2 linked regions of the Drosophila melanogaster genome follow. The protein of the gene in region 1 interacts with the protein of each later gene in a pairwise test. Each region holds a gene or a part of one and is shown in the gene's direction. Other genes may lie near its edges.

What was found. The genes of interacting proteins can lie anywhere in the genome.
Region 2: the proteins of TfIIEbeta (region 1) and Antp interact in a protein complementation assay, tested with the Drosophila melanogaster proteins (one study listed by BioGRID).

The regions. Positions count from the first base shown.
Region 1 is NT_037436.4:4,282,775-4,289,923, forward strand, and holds TfIIEbeta (transcription factor IIEbeta), read left to right. Parts: upstream 1-4,263; 5' UTR 4,264-4,375; coding exon 4,376-4,437; exon of another isoform or gene 4,438-4,509; coding exon 4,510-4,614; intron 4,615-4,689; coding exon 4,690-4,852; intron 4,853-4,912; coding exon 4,913-5,203; intron 5,204-5,259; coding exon 5,260-5,517; 3' UTR 5,518-5,575; downstream 5,576-7,149. Other genes in the region: srw (shrew), read right to left, coding at 294-704; CG1316 (uncharacterized protein), read left to right, coding at 1,190-1,509, 1,573-1,767, 1,831-2,216, 2,279-2,342, 2,401-2,498, 2,651-2,757, 2,825-2,995, 3,073-3,144; Hexo1 (hexosaminidase 1), read left to right, coding at 6,321-6,397, 6,472-7,106.
Region 2 is NT_033777.3:6,994,176-7,002,493, reverse strand, and holds the start of Antp (antennapedia), read left to right. Parts: upstream 1-3,265; 5' UTR 3,266-4,288; intron 4,289-8,318. UniProt on the Drosophila melanogaster protein: Sequence-specific transcription factor which is part of a developmental regulatory system that regulates segmental identity in the mesothorax. Provides cells with specific positional identities on the anterior-posterior axis.

The DNA.
Region 1 (7,149 bases):
AAAACGTGGAGTGACAACAACCAGGGATGGCTATTCATTCAAAGCCAGGGCGTCAACAGCACGTGCACCCGAATAGTGGTATTTTGCAACACTTTATGGGAAGTATTTGAAAAGTCCGTAATTTTAAATCAAAAACTAGAAAAATGTAGGTAAAATATTTTTTAACGGTTTCTTTTATTTTCGTTAAGCTAAATAAACTTTTAAATTTTCATAATCTATAAATTAATTTGAAATTACAATTAGCATGACGTATAGCATCCGATAATTAGCCTCTAGCTGCTGACAAGGGATTTTCAATCATCTTCATCTTCAAGTCCGGGTTCAGGACATAGTCGACATCTGCTCTCATTTACGCCGTAATTCATGCAAAGTTCTCCCACGCACTCGCAACATCCGTCATGAAACCACCTGTAGCTGGTGGCTCCGGTTTTCAGGCAGGTCTGTCGACACTTATTCCAGGATGTGCACTGATCCAGATACAAAACGGTGCAATTTAGACCAGATCCTGGTTTTCCATTCGTTGAAAACGAGACCACGCTCCAATTGTATGTGTATCCATCGTTTGGAGATGAGGACATGGCCCTGAACAAGGCTGGCATTCCTTCGAATTCCTCGGTGTGCGATTTCTTTCGCATTTGTGCCATGTTAGCGAGGCCTAACTCTCCAAAGGATAGCAAAATGTAGATAGTCAGAAGTGTTTTCATATTGATTTGGAATATGCAACTGAAGTGTTGGCGCACTTACAAACGGTTTTTAAATAAGAATATAGTACAGGTAGTAGGTGGTATAATGTTTCAGGTAGAAAATCACTCACCAGCTGCCACTAAGGGCTTTATCTATTTTTATAACTATTACCTAAATGCCCGCAATGGCCCTTTTTGCTGACTTATTATTGGAAATTAATACTTTAATCCATGCAACGCAGTTGGGATCTTTAACATTCCGAGCTGTTAGAAATTACTTTATGAAATATGGATTTTTAAATGTATTTTATGCGGTTATAGTGTAAGAACCAGTTCAATCAAAGGAACCACAGCGTACACAGCCATCGAAACAGTTTAGACGTATATCGATCAGTTCACATCTCTATCTTGTCTGTATACGGCTGTGTGTCAAAGCGGCAAAAGCGAGAAAAGTCGAAGTGCAAATAATTTTAACGGAGCGGAAAAAATATAGATAAATCAGAACCATGTCGGACTATAGATCGCAATCGCGCAGTGGCGGGGGACGTGGCGGTCAGGAGTACTCGAACGACGACGATCCGCCGATGTCGCGTCTCTTCATCATTTGCAACAAGGCGCACACCGAGGAGGATTTCCGTGAAGCCTTCTCGCCATACGGCGAAATCGAGGATATCTGGGTGGTGAAGGACAAGCACACCCAGGAGAACAAGGGAATCGCGTACGTCAAGTTCTCCAAGACATCCGATGCTGCCAAGGCACAGGAGGAGATGAACGGCAAGACCATTGGCAAGATGGATCGCACCCTTAAAGTCCTGGTGGCAGCCAAGTAAGATTAGCTTCGAGAGTACTGGCCCAAAACCATGGTCTAACTCTTATCCTCCTCTTCCAGTCGCAATCAGGGCTCAAATAAGTCTGAGAACGAGCAGGAGAAGTACGTGAGACTCTTCATAGTGATCCCCAAAACAGCCACCGAGGAGGATATTCGCGAGGAATTCTCGCAGTGGGGCGATGTGGAATCTGTCACAATTGTCAAGGAGAAGAACAATGGCAATCCCAAGGGCTTCGGATATGTCCGCTTTACCAAGTGCGTGGCGAATGTAGCATTGCTAATTGTCCTAGCCATAACTAATCTAATCTCAATGCACAGGTTTTACTATGCAGCTGTGGCTTTCGAAAACTGCTCCGCCAAGTATAAAGCTGTCTTTGCCGAGCCAAAGGGTTCTACACGCACACAGCGTGACCAGTACGGCCGTCCCTCCGAGGACAATCCCTTGTATAGCAGCTCGGGACGTGGCAATTCCAATTTCAATGGAGGCGGTAGCAGCAGCGGTGGCGGCGGCAGCAACAGCTACAACAACGACTGGAATGTATCGCAGAACAACGACATGGCGGCCTTCCTGCGCATGCAGAATGTGCCAGTGGCCCAGCCATCCTGTCTGGAGGTTAACGTGAGCAACTGCGTCAACCAGGATCAGCTCTGGCGTCTCTTCGACATAATTCCCGGCTTGGATTACTGCCAAATCATGCGCGAACGTAAGTGACCAACCCAGTGTGGGTTTCAAACCCCTTTTGAACTACTTATATCTCCGTTGTAGATGGACCGCGCACCAATGAGGCCTTAGTGGTGTACGACAACCCAGAAGCCGCCATTTATGCCAAGTAAACAAAGCCCTAAAACTCATTTTCATGCAGGCTTTAAAACACTATTCTTCTTTAGGGACAAACTTCATGGCCTGGAGTACCCAATGGGCGAACGCATCATTGTCAAAGTCAATGGAATGAGCTCAGCTCGCATGGACACATCCTTCATAGACAGTACGCGAGTTAAACCTATCAAGGGCTACAGGCCGCGCCATCACCTGTAGCCATTTATTAAACGCTTTTGCTTGGTTTATTTCTTAGCACATTTTTGGCTTAAAATGCATGATATTTCCTATTTCTAGACTTAATGTGGTTTTTTATTTTAGAGCGAACCAAAAAGGATGCCATCTGCAATGTTCCCTTGCCCCCAACTCAGCCACTGGCATCGCCGGACGACCAGGTGGCCCAACGACTGTTCATTGTGCTCTCAGCGGTAGGTATCACTGTACCGTGTCCAATTACCATTAGCTATAAACGTTGTTTCTTTCCCATCTACTCAGAACTTGCCGCATTCGATATTGAAGAACATATTCTCTTGCTGGTCGGGACTGATCGACGTCTACCTTCTGCCCAACAAGAACTGTGGCTACGTCAAGTATGCGGAGGTTGAGAGTGCTCAATTGGCCATTCGTACCCTAAACGGAGCCGAAATTTGCGGCACCAAAATCAAGGTTTGTACCGTGTACTCATGTTCTGTTGCTGACAAGCAAGCAATTCTAATCAATTTTAAATTTTTATCTTACTTTAGGTCATGGAGGCTGAGGAGCGAAGTGGCTCCGACGGCGATGATGGCGGTCGCAAGCGATTGAGACGGAACTGAGTGTAAGTAGCTAGTTGAGTATGCATAAATTCCGTATCTATTAATGTAGCCATAATTGAACTGAGTGTGTGCCGTGGTACGAGGTAAGTAGCTGTGCAAATTCCAAACCGAAAACCTTTTAGCGATTTAAGACAATGTGCGCCTGCTGCACTTGCCCTGTGCACCGGTTGGCCATCGATGTCCACGATACCCATGCCGCCCACTGAGCGCGAACATAATAAGCCAAACCATTTTTATCTTTCTATCTCCACAGACCCACTGACAACCAAGAACTTACAGAGAACGCAATGTACGAAAACGTAACTAACTTGAGCATACAGTCCGATAAAAACAGTTGAACTGACCACCAACCACCAAACAACGCAACAACCAACCAATAACCAAACAAGAACCACCACCACAACAACACTCTCCGTACGGAATGCCACATGAACCAGAACCACGGGGACTGGAGAACGCAGACTGGAAACGGAAACTGCGAACGAAGACCATACCCGGGTGAACAAACCAAACAGGCCAACGAAATCACCACACCCGTTGACTACTCTCTACCAATTGACTAACTCAAGTGGGTCTCGTACAGAGCACTCGTAGAAAGACCCATAACCCATACGACCTTTAAACGGAGCCAACGAAACCGCAATGCTCTTGCTATATACACAATATATGCATAGTGTCGTATATATGTGTACTCATACCGCTTAGGGGACTTTTGAATCTACCCGTGATACAGAAACGAACTCTCTGTGTAACTTGAACTCTTACAAACTTATTCCGACGAGATTCAGCCAAGCAATAAATTCAAACGCAATGAATTTCTTAAGAGTATCAACTCTGTCTCGTAAATTCACGCTAAGCCACAGCGTGAAAAATTATTCTTTTCATATATTAGATTTAAATAAACGATATTCTACTGTATAAGGCCAACAATAAATACACTTAAATGGAATAATGTTTTTTTTTTCTTTGGAAGCGAAATGGGAAACAAATTAATTCTCGCTATGCAGATTTTCCATATATATATAATAAATTTTTTTTTAAAAGCGAATGGACTTTTTGAAAGGTCGTTAAATGAACCAGTTCCGAAATGTACAACTTCAGTGTCGCAGCCCTGGTAAGTTCCGGTTCCACGGACAGCTGAGCAGGCATTGTTTAGATTTTGTAAATTGTTGATTTCTCGCAGCAGAAAGTTTTTTTTCGTAGAGCTAAATAATAAAAAAAAACATTCGAAATGGATCCAGCACTGCTTCGCGAACGCGAGGCCTTCAAAAAGCGGGCGATGGCCACGCCCACGTGAGTACCGCACTTGTGGCCCCTCTGATAAAGATTGCTTCTCGAAAATTACATGCTATCCTTTTAAAATAGCGTGGAAAAGAAGTCCAAGCCCGATAGACCAGCTCCACCGCCGCCTAGCGATGATTCCAGGCGCAAAATGCGCCCGCCCAATGCTCCCAGGCTGGATGCCACAACGTAAGTTCCTTGAGAGCCTCTGCTACTGCCAGAAATGGTTCTTAACCATGTGGAACTCTTGCATTCCATACTTAGATACAAGACCATGTCCGGCAGTTCCCAGTACCGCTTTGGAGTGCTGGCCAAGATTGTGAAATTCATGCGCACACGTCACCAGGACGGCGACGACCATCCCCTGACCATCGATGAGATTCTGGACGAGACCAACCAGCTGGACATTGGGCAATCCGTTAAGAATGTTAGCTACAGTGCGTGATAAGTTGTGGCAGGTTATTAAACCATTATTCCTCTATTTTAGTGGCTTGCTAGCGAGGCTCTGCACAACAATCCCAAGGTGGAAGCCAGTCCATGTGGCACCAAGTTCAGTTTCAAGCCAGTCTACAAGATCAAGGATGGCAAAACGCTGATGCGTCTGCTCAAGCAACATGATTTAAAGGGCCTGGGCGGCATTTTGCTGGACGATGTCCAGGAATCTCTACCACACTGCGAAAAGGTGCTGAAGAACCGATCAGCCGAAATACTTTTTGTTGTTAGACCCATTGACAAAAAGAAGATTTTATTTTACAATGACAGGACTGCTAATTTTTCGGTGGGTTATAAACACACTCTTCTAAAATCCCAGCCTAATCAATTGTACCGTCTCAGGTGGACGACGAGTTCCAGAAGCTATGGCGCTCGGCTACGGTCGATGCAATGGACGACGCCAAGATTGACGAGTACCTCGAGAAGCAGGGCATTCGCTCCATGCAGGACCATGGCCTCAAGAAAGCAATTCCCAAGCGCAAGAAGGCGGCCAACAAGAAGCGGCAGTTCAAGAAGCCCAGAGACAACGAACATTTGGCCGACGTTCTGGAGGTCTACGAGGATAACACACTAACGCTGAAGGGTGTGAACCCAACGTAGAATAGAGACATTAGATTATACAAATAAAAACCACTCTCAATGGAATTAAGTACACTCGAAACTGGATGTTATAAATTTGTTTAACCACTGCCAATCTAATTAAGAATCCGCTGTGGCCGAAATCTCATTCCTCAAGATTTATAGTACCAGATTGCTGTTCTGCCTGTGGCATTGAACTTAAAAATATGACGACCGGCACAGGGAAAGATAATTAAAAAGCAAAACTATGTAATCTTTTCCTGACATTCCCCATTGCTTTCCACACCTGATGGCTGGTGGTGTGCGTGTACGAGGGCCAGAATCGATGCTGGTGGGCAGTTAAATTGGCAACAGAGGGAAGCCGTAGCTTTAGTCTGCACTGAACAGCAGCCAAGTTCAGTTGGAATCGATTTGGAATAACCTATATTTTGGTACGGCGGTTGTGCGGGCTTATCAGGAAAATTATCTATATATTGGACTCTACAAATCTAAAAAAAGATTGTGTTGCTATTTGTAATCTATTAAGATTATAACAAGAGATCCGATATTCAGTATAGACAAAAATATAGCTCATACGACTCGTAAATCAGTCATATTGCAAACTATCGTTCGTCCTCTAACTTGTTCAATTTAAAAGATAGGGTATTCATAAGTGGACTTGCATGAAATCCGATTCTTTGTTTACTTGGCTTGACTCTTTGGCACGGACAATGAGCTCTCTACTCGGCGGCAAAAACTTGTTTTGAAATACTCAATTTGTTTAATTATCATTCCCGAAGCATTCGCCAGTTGGTTTTGAGAGTTTCTGTGCTGAGGTTGACGAAATGAAGTCGACGCGGACTGCACTTGGAGTGGCCCTGCTCCTGGCCCTGGTGTCTCAACTGGCGGCCCACAGCTCGGAGTGAGTAAATCAAACCTCGTATGCTATATAGATTAGGTCACTGACTTTCTCTTTGACTTGATTCCCGCATCCAGTGACTTGGTTTACGGCTACGAGTGCCGCAGTGGCTACTGCCAGAAGGTAGAGCTCAGCGAGGAGAACTACGTCAAGGCCATCAGTCTGCCCGTGTGCCGGCTCTTCTGCGGCAGCTCCATCGGCACCTTGTGGCCCAAACCGACGGGCACTGTGCGTCTGGACACGTTGATGCGCCAAGTGGACATCTCCTTCATTGATTTCAATTTCAATGGAATTGCCCGCCAGCAGAAGCTATGGCGAGCGGTTGAAGACCGTTTCATGAACATGCTCGAAGCCCAGATTCCGGATCGCAAGGTTCTGGCACGAGGTGGCTACCGTATGTCTGTGAACATCAATACTCCGGATGAGCCGACACCGGCCAGACTCACCCTGGATACGGATGAGAGCTATACGCTGGACATTGATACGGATGCCTCGGGTCATGTGCTGGCCAACATAACCGCGTCCAACTTCTTTGGAGCCCGTCATGGCCTGGAGACACTAGCCCAGTTGATTGTCTACGATGACATCCGCCGCGAGGTTCAGGTGACTGCCAATGCCACCATCAACGATGCTCCCGTGTACAAATGGCGTGGATTGCTCCTGGACACCTCCCGTAACTACTACTCTGTGAAGTCCATCAAGAGGACGTTGGGTAAGGCAATGGTTCAGGAAAGAGGCAGGGGAGGGTTATGTTT
Region 2 (8,318 bases), on another chromosome or scaffold:
TACATGGTATATCCTATTCGATAGGTTCTTGGCTCAGTTTGCTGGAGCGGAAACGCAGGCTTGGGGGCGAGTTGTCTGTGGCGGCGGCATGTGAAAATATTTCCCAAGGTGAACGCCACACACAAACACGACGCCGACCCACGGGGACGGAAAAAGGACCCAAATGCAAGGAGGCACTCGATTCCAGCTGAGACCGGGTCTGGTTTTGGGCCTGATCCTGGACCCGAATTGAATGATTTAGAGTCGCACAGTTGTCAAAGAGCAGCGATGCGTACGGACAGCATCCATGGGACCTTTCTTTCTGTGGGGAGGGCAGGAGCTAAAGCGGGACTGTTGCCCATCCCAATTGGAATGGGTGGTGTCCGGAGTGGGGCGCCAAGTATGCTTTTAAAACCGATTCATCCGTTTTCATGATATTTATTGCCGCTACATAATTGAGTGTAAAATTTTTTGGGGTTCGGCTTAACTTTGATATATCAAAGGTACGTTCACAAAGTAATTTTATTTATGTAAATACGTATAAATATTGAATACATAATTTAAAAGTGTATATAGACAGGTTTTATTGTCAAATATTTTAATGTTTTTGGAGGTTTGTGAGAAAATTAATAAAAATTATTTCTTAAATGTTCATGAATCCGCATACTAAATCTTAACTTTATAGATTTTTTAGTTACCGAAATCACGATGTTCATACGGACAGATATGGACAGTTGAATAGACAGAGGGACATGGTCAGCTCGGCTCAGAAAGTGATCGTCAATTTGTTATGGTCGGAAACGCTTCCCTATACCTGGTTCATACGTTTCAACGAATCTAGTCTACCCTTTTACTCTACGAGTAATGGTAACTATTATACAAAAATACATTATGTTAATTTCACATTATTAAATAATTATGCAATATGAGATTTTCATGAAGCCTTCTTTAACAAGTTTAAGTCTGAATGCTTTTCTGATGTGATTATTATTAAATAGCGTTATGAAAACAGCTTAATTTGCTTTGATAAACTCATATAATTGGAACCCCATTAAAATTCAATTAGGTGATGACTACATTTTAAATTTTTTGTTTCAGTAAAAATATATTTGAATATACCAAAGAACGCCATAAAACACCCATAATGGAGACTCCAAGCAAGTACGACATTTCAAAAATTGCATTAACATCCGGTAGAATTTTTGCCGCTGGCGAACTTGCAGTTCCAACTGGAATTTTCAGCACCACTGTTCCACCAAGAGAATTCTCCGCACTCAGAAAGGCAAAAATTCTCAACTGGAGCTCACTGGCAGCGCCGTCAGCAGAGCAGCCGACGACTGCGTAAATTTATGTGAGAAATGGCAATTGAAAAAAGAGCAGTGCGGCGCGCTCACGACACACATAAAGCAAAATAATGGCACATTCGTCACACTTAACGCGGCCGCATCTGGCCGTCTCGCTCGCACCCGCGTCTGCCCCTCTCGCTCGCACTCTCGCTCTCTGCCTGCGCCGCCATCCATCTTGTGCGTTTGTGTGCCGCGCTTGTGTGTGTGCGGTCTCTGAGAATGCTTTATGAGTGTGCGTCTGTGGCGGACTCCTCCCTGTTTACGACGCTGGCAGCGCCGCAAGCAGAAGCAGCGGCTGCAAAAATTCGGCCAACTTGTGTTGTTGTTCTTTTTCCGCTCCACAACAGCTGTGGGAGAGCGAGAGCGTAGGAGAAAGAGAGAGAGTGAGAGCGATGCTGAATTGTGATTGTGTGCGTGTGAGTGATGGCCTGCATGTGTGCGTGCATGTGATTTGTTGTTGGCGCGCTTCGATATAAACTCGGCCATGATGGTTTTGCCGTCGGCAAGTGGATGTTTGGATGCCATACTCCCCGGTTCCAAGTACCGTATTCCGGGTTCCATAATTCACGGCGGCCATCATTCTCCCGATTATCGAATGTTAGCCGATAATGAGATATCAAAACGTCTAGATATGACTTCATCGGGCAAATCACATTTGCTATACAAAACTGTTAATTATGTATGGTTGTGGTATATTTACAAAAATAATTATTAAAAGATACGTTTATACGTTTATATACCATATCTATAAGCGTTAATTAAGAACATCTAAAAAAGATAAAAAATCGAGACAATCGAAATCAAAAACGTTTTTTACTCTTATAAGTACTTAAGCAGCATAACAATTTACAATTATTTTACATAATAGGCAAACAGAAACTTTCGACCTTTCCATTGCAAAACCCTATTTTAGATTATTTTCACTGGTAAAATAAATAAATAAATGAGTTTGTAAATTAATGATTCAGTCTGAAGTAATCGACGGATTGATACTTTAAAAACTAAAAAGTCAACACAAGGCCTTTAGAGAACCGTATTTGTAAATTGTACAATTATTTTAATTGATTTTATAGAAGGTGGTCTCCCACAAAATGGTAGATTTGACCGCAAAAATTTAAAAACAAGTAAACTGAAGATGTACACATCTTTCACATCGTTACGCTATTTTAAGAAATTAAAAGCAAATGAATTGATTGACCATATAGTCCAGAAGAATGGTTAAAAAGGTATAAAGATATTAAGTTATAAAGATATAGTAATCGCTCTTCGAAATAAAAGTAGAAACTACTCGATAATGCCCAGACAATCGAATTTTAAATAGTTTCGATTTTAGAGAAACTGAAAAGAGCACTTAAGAGAAAGAAACTTAAAATTGAACCTTGCAAAAAATTGTATTTAATAAACCAAAATGAATGAAACAAATTTCTTAAAAACCTAATAAAAAAGTGAAATCAAATATACCAACCAAAATAAATCTGGGAACTGAATAATCGAAAATAACTGGATGTGCATCATAAGATCTTCTTTTGAAGACTGACTACAGTTTGCAGCTCAGCGAGCTCGGGCCGGCAACTCAAGCCGGTCAACTCAAGTCAGGCGCCAATTCGCTGCTCCCACTCGCTCAGCTCTCTCAGTCACTCAAAATGGCAACGAGAGCAGAACGGTTCTTTTGCAAAATACTTTATGACCGGAGCAGAAGCAGAATCGGACCTCTGTCGCGGTCGCAGTCGCTGCCAGTGCTGACGGCGCTGTTGCGGCCGACGCTGACGCACATAAATAAAACGCTCTCTTTCGCTCACGAGTTTCTTATAAGACTTTATTTATATACTGCGCTGCCACCGCTGACTGCGCGCCGCCGCCGCCGACTGCGCTGGATTAATAAGGAGTTCTCGCTGGGATTTTCACATGTATATGCTTTGAATTGAATGCTTTATGGGTTTAGTTTGATAGGAGTCGTAAAGAAATCAACATCACACAACAAAGCACTCGAGGACCCGTCCGTGTTCCGTTGACTTAGCCCACGTGCGACTGTATGTGTGTGTGTGCGAGAGGGATCCCAGCAGCATAACGGTATTCGGTGCCCCGTATTCCGTAGTCGCTATAGCGGCCAATATCTTGGGGCTGGGCTCTCGGAGCTGAACTGAACTGAACTAAACTGAACTGAACTATTCGCATTCGTATTCGCTCGCTCTCCGTCGTCGCGACCGCTCTCTTATCCCAATTGTCAGCCCGCTAAGATCATAAAGGCCGTAAAAATAATCATAACAATAATCGTAAAAAATTAGAACCGCAATCAGTCGCACACTGTCCATCGCATGGCGCAGATCGTCATAAACCCATTATTATAATAATAACCGTAATCGTAACCGTAATCGTAATTGTAATCGCAGGCGCCATCGCATAAACAGCAAACAAAAACACCGTCAGAGAAATTGGAATTGAACTTCGCGCGCGTTTCTTTTTATGATGTTCGAGTGTCTGGCAGGTGTCTGGATTCAAATTAAAATTCATCCACATATTGTGCAATACTACTAATGGATCTGGGCTGACTGTGCTGCAAATGAGCTAGAGTTCAAATTTATCAAGCCAAATCCTACTACCTAAGTGTTTATCTATTCTTAAAAACGCATCGTGCACCGAAAACTCGAATCTGTACAACAACGTTTTCTAGTCCCCCGTAAATCGAGCAATATCTACACACTAGCAACAAACAAAAGCTGAAGCTTTCAACTCAAACCACAACAAATTCAACAGAAATAAAACGTAGACAGCCAAAATAACACAAAAAAAAAATAAATAATAAAAAACAAAATACATAAAACGGAAAAGAATAAGGAGCGGAAAAAGTTTCGATTCCACTGCGGGCAAACTTTTTATTTTGGCGCACGTGCAAGCTACCGTTAGCTGAGAATTCCAAAAGCCAGCAGGATTGAAGGATAAGCGCACGTTATTGGATTTAAGAGGTAAGTGCCAGGGCTCGACTTTTCAATTTCCTCACCTTCTTCACTGAAATCAAAATGGTTATATGTTTCTTTTATTGGCCAATTGGGATTAAAATGTCTTTATTCACAAAAATGGTTAATGCGTTTTGAAAACAATGCTTAAATTGATTATAATTATATTTTACTACAAATTTTATGTTATTTCTGCCTATCCAAACTATTTCAAATATTCAATTTAATAATAATCGTAACTGAAAGTGAAGAAAAAATCTTAACTTTAAATTGTAGTAAAAAATCAATATTGTTAAATAATTGCAAAGGTAATTGTACATGTAATGTAATGTCATCTATGCATACCGTCAAAGAATTATTCGATTGTCACTAAAAATTATATATAATTTTTAAACAAAAATGATTGTGAGGTTCTCTTAACATTATTTTTGAAAAAATGGTTGACATAAGTATATTATGTTACTATTAGCTGTCCATTAAATGTTTGAATAAAATCAATCATTTCAATGAAGCTTACATGGATTAGAATATCAGTCTATGTATATGCCGACGGAAACTTTATACATTTCCAAATACTTGTCTAAATATGTGGAAGTTTTGACATTAATGACTCTGTACAAAGAATAGCGCATCTGTTTCTCGATGTGCAGTGGGCAAGGTATAAGTTTTTTGCCCGAACTCAGATTCAACACTTCATAACTCAAAGGGCGTTTTTCGGAAGCTACAGCCAGGTCATCACTCATTTGGCCTGCAAACTGCAAACTGTTGACAGGCTTATTAGCCATTTGCATAAATTTGCAAAGTGGGAGGAGGGGTGGTGGGATGCTTTCAGGAATCCCGGGAGTTGAAGCTGGAAAACTGAAAACGGAGCTCCGAACTTAACTGGCCACGAGTAATGGGCTCTTTGAACTTGGAATTCGTTTTTGAATTATTGCGCATATCCTGGGCAACATAGTTTCACTTCCGAATGGTGGGAAAGGGCAGCCATTTCTCTCTCAGACACACACGCAAACACATTCATACACACACACACACACACGCACATAGTTGGACGAACAGGACACTCTCGGGTTCTCCGCATAGAAAATTTATGCGGCCATTGTTGCAGTGCATTGTCCTTGTTGTTGCTGATTTTGTTGTTGTCCTAGTTGTCTGGCCTTTGCATATTTGTCGTCCTCTCTGTCTGTCGCTCGCTACCTTTTACCTTTCTCTCTTTCTCCATTCCCGCTCTCTCATTGCACTTGCGCCCCACAGAGGTGCGGAATTTATTCGTAATTTAATAAACATTTAAAAATCTGTTCCATAATTTGGAAAGTATCTCTAGCGATCTGTCCAAAAGGGCTTTAATGAACTTATCCTGGCTTTTACTTTCAGCCTGCTTATCGTTAACACATTTCCATTTGCATTTTTGCCAGCTTCGATTTTTGCAAAATCAAATAGATGGCATCAAATGAAATTATTTTCTCATAATTTATTGATTTTATCAGCTGGAAATGTTACACAGCTGACAAAATCATAAACTCCGTTCTGTTTGCCCGGCAAAAACTTTTATGATTTATGGCCGAGTGACAGACAGAAAAAACACCGATGCAATTGGGAGAAATGGGGGGAAAATATTCAAAATTTGTATGAAAACGCACATTTCCCTAGACTATTTTTGTTTAAGTCCTACAATTCTTTACTAACATATTTAGACCCTTATACATGAGCAACCACTTCCTTTTAAACGGATTCTTAATCAAGTTCACACTCATGGCAAAGCAGCAAAAAGATTTATACATCAGCACACCAATGGCGACAACTCTTTTGTAAAAACATTAATCACGACCTCTGAGATTCGGCCGAAAGCCCAAAACTTAGCAACAAAAGTAAACGAAATTGTTGTTAATAAAACGAATCCAACAAAAAGCTTCAACGAAAACAGCCGACCACCACAAAGAAAACTTGTTTGACTTGCCTTTGAAATTAAAATTATATTTAAGCCCCCATTGATAGATGGCGACATGAGTCGGTTAATTAATCATATGCAAGCTCAGTAAATTTAAATAAAACAAAAACCGCTCAAATAAAAACCTAAATTTCACACAATAAAGTCTCTAGACAAACAAAGGACCAGAAACGGCAAAAACAGCGTTTTTTTTTTCATTTTCAAATCACCAAAAATATTATCGACTTCATCGGGTCCACAACATTTTAAGGCCCTCGGGAACTGAACTTTGATAAGCCGCCGGAAATGATGAACCTTGTGTAATTTGTTTATCGTTTTACCAATGGGACTACAAACTTGGCATTAATTGCTTTCTCTGAAAAGTATTTATCAAGACTGTGCTTACGTTATTACTTAAATTTTACTTTTATTTAACAATCCATTATTGATATAGATTACAAAAGTTTCTTGCGACACATTTACATATACAATTTACACATCCAATTTACTTCCATACTTCCATAAAATACAAATAATAACATTATAAAAAAGAGAAGCAGTCAACTGTTTTAAATTAAATAAATTATTTAAAATATATTTATATTTTCGGAATTTAAATACACTGGCTTCCATTACAACTGTGAAAAAAAGTTATTCTTGAAAAAGAGAAATAGATGTAACTGCTGAAAATCGGACAAAATCGGCGGTCAAAGCCAACTAAAACTCAATCCAATTTTGTTGGGCGGCAATTTGCAGTGACTGCAATTAGTTTTGGCCACGGAAAAAAGGGAACAAATGGGAGAAAGTCTTACTATTTTATTTTTTAGCCCAAATGCAGTCAGCGGCTCGAACTGTTTTATATATACTTGTTTTTATAGGTTCGTGGTAGGAAAACAGGGACGAAAATCGGGGTGAGGTGCAGGGAACCGCGGAGGGTGCAGGGTCGGGGGCCAGAAACCCAGCGGGAAGCGCTCGCAGTGACATTGCGCCGAAGCGGGTGACAATGATTTATGGCCAAGAGATACGCGACAAGGAACGCAAAAACTCAAAACTCGAAAACTAAAAAACACCAATCGCACACCAAAAACGCAAAACGCTCTCCGAAAGCGGCAGGAAGCGGAATGAAAACTCACGAAACTATGGGAAATTCCCGAAAAGCAAACTACCTAAACTCACAACACCGCAACACCAGAAATTCGCAAAAGAATCTTATTTTTTAATGCCAAAAGTGTCCTTGAAAACGCAACAACAACAACTAGGAGTCACATCTCAGAAACCGAGAGTGATAACCTGCTGATTTTTATGACAGTTTTCCTTTTTTTTGTCACTTGTCACGAGGTTGTAAAATCAAGGATTTTCCAGCAGAAATCATACGGCCATTAGGAAGTCGAAGTCACCTGGCTCAGGCTCGAGCCCGGGCTCTGGCTCTGGCTCTGGCTCTGGCTCTGGCTCCGGGTTATGCAATCGTCATTTTGTACGGTCATAAAAATTAATATGCGTCCTTCGCAGTGGCAATTTGGTGCGCATATCTCGGCAAACGCATCTCCATAGTTCGTTTATCTGACTTTGAACTCGAGACGCTAAGCCGCTGGAGTCGCAGTACATGACTTTTGGCTTTATCCACGTCTCGCTGTCTGCAACCATTGTATCTGTGCCTTGAAGGTTACCTGTTTTTACAGTTTAGACCGGGTCGACTCGGCTTGGCTTGGCTCGGCACGGCCTTCTTCTTTTTAGATGCCCAACATCGTTCTGCTCGGCACTCTCTCAAATTATTATTTATGAGCTCGCATTGTTGTCGTCGATCTGGAATCGAACCGTCCAGCGATTTCTATATAGGCTTACCTCGCCTCTCAGCCCCGAATGCAGTTCAAGATTTTTACTTTCAGCTTGAAAACGAAATTCATAATAAATCAAATCATTTTTGTGTGCTCGAGATGCAGTTCCATGTTTGCCTTCTTGTTTGTGTGGATATAAATCAAAGCCGATTCTGCTTAGATTTCGGTGCAATGCGCCAAGGGATTAGGAGGTGCGGAATGGATGGCGGGAACAGGTTTCCACAAGTGGGAACTCATGAATTTTCTTAATTATAAGTAAGTACTACCCTTAACTGAA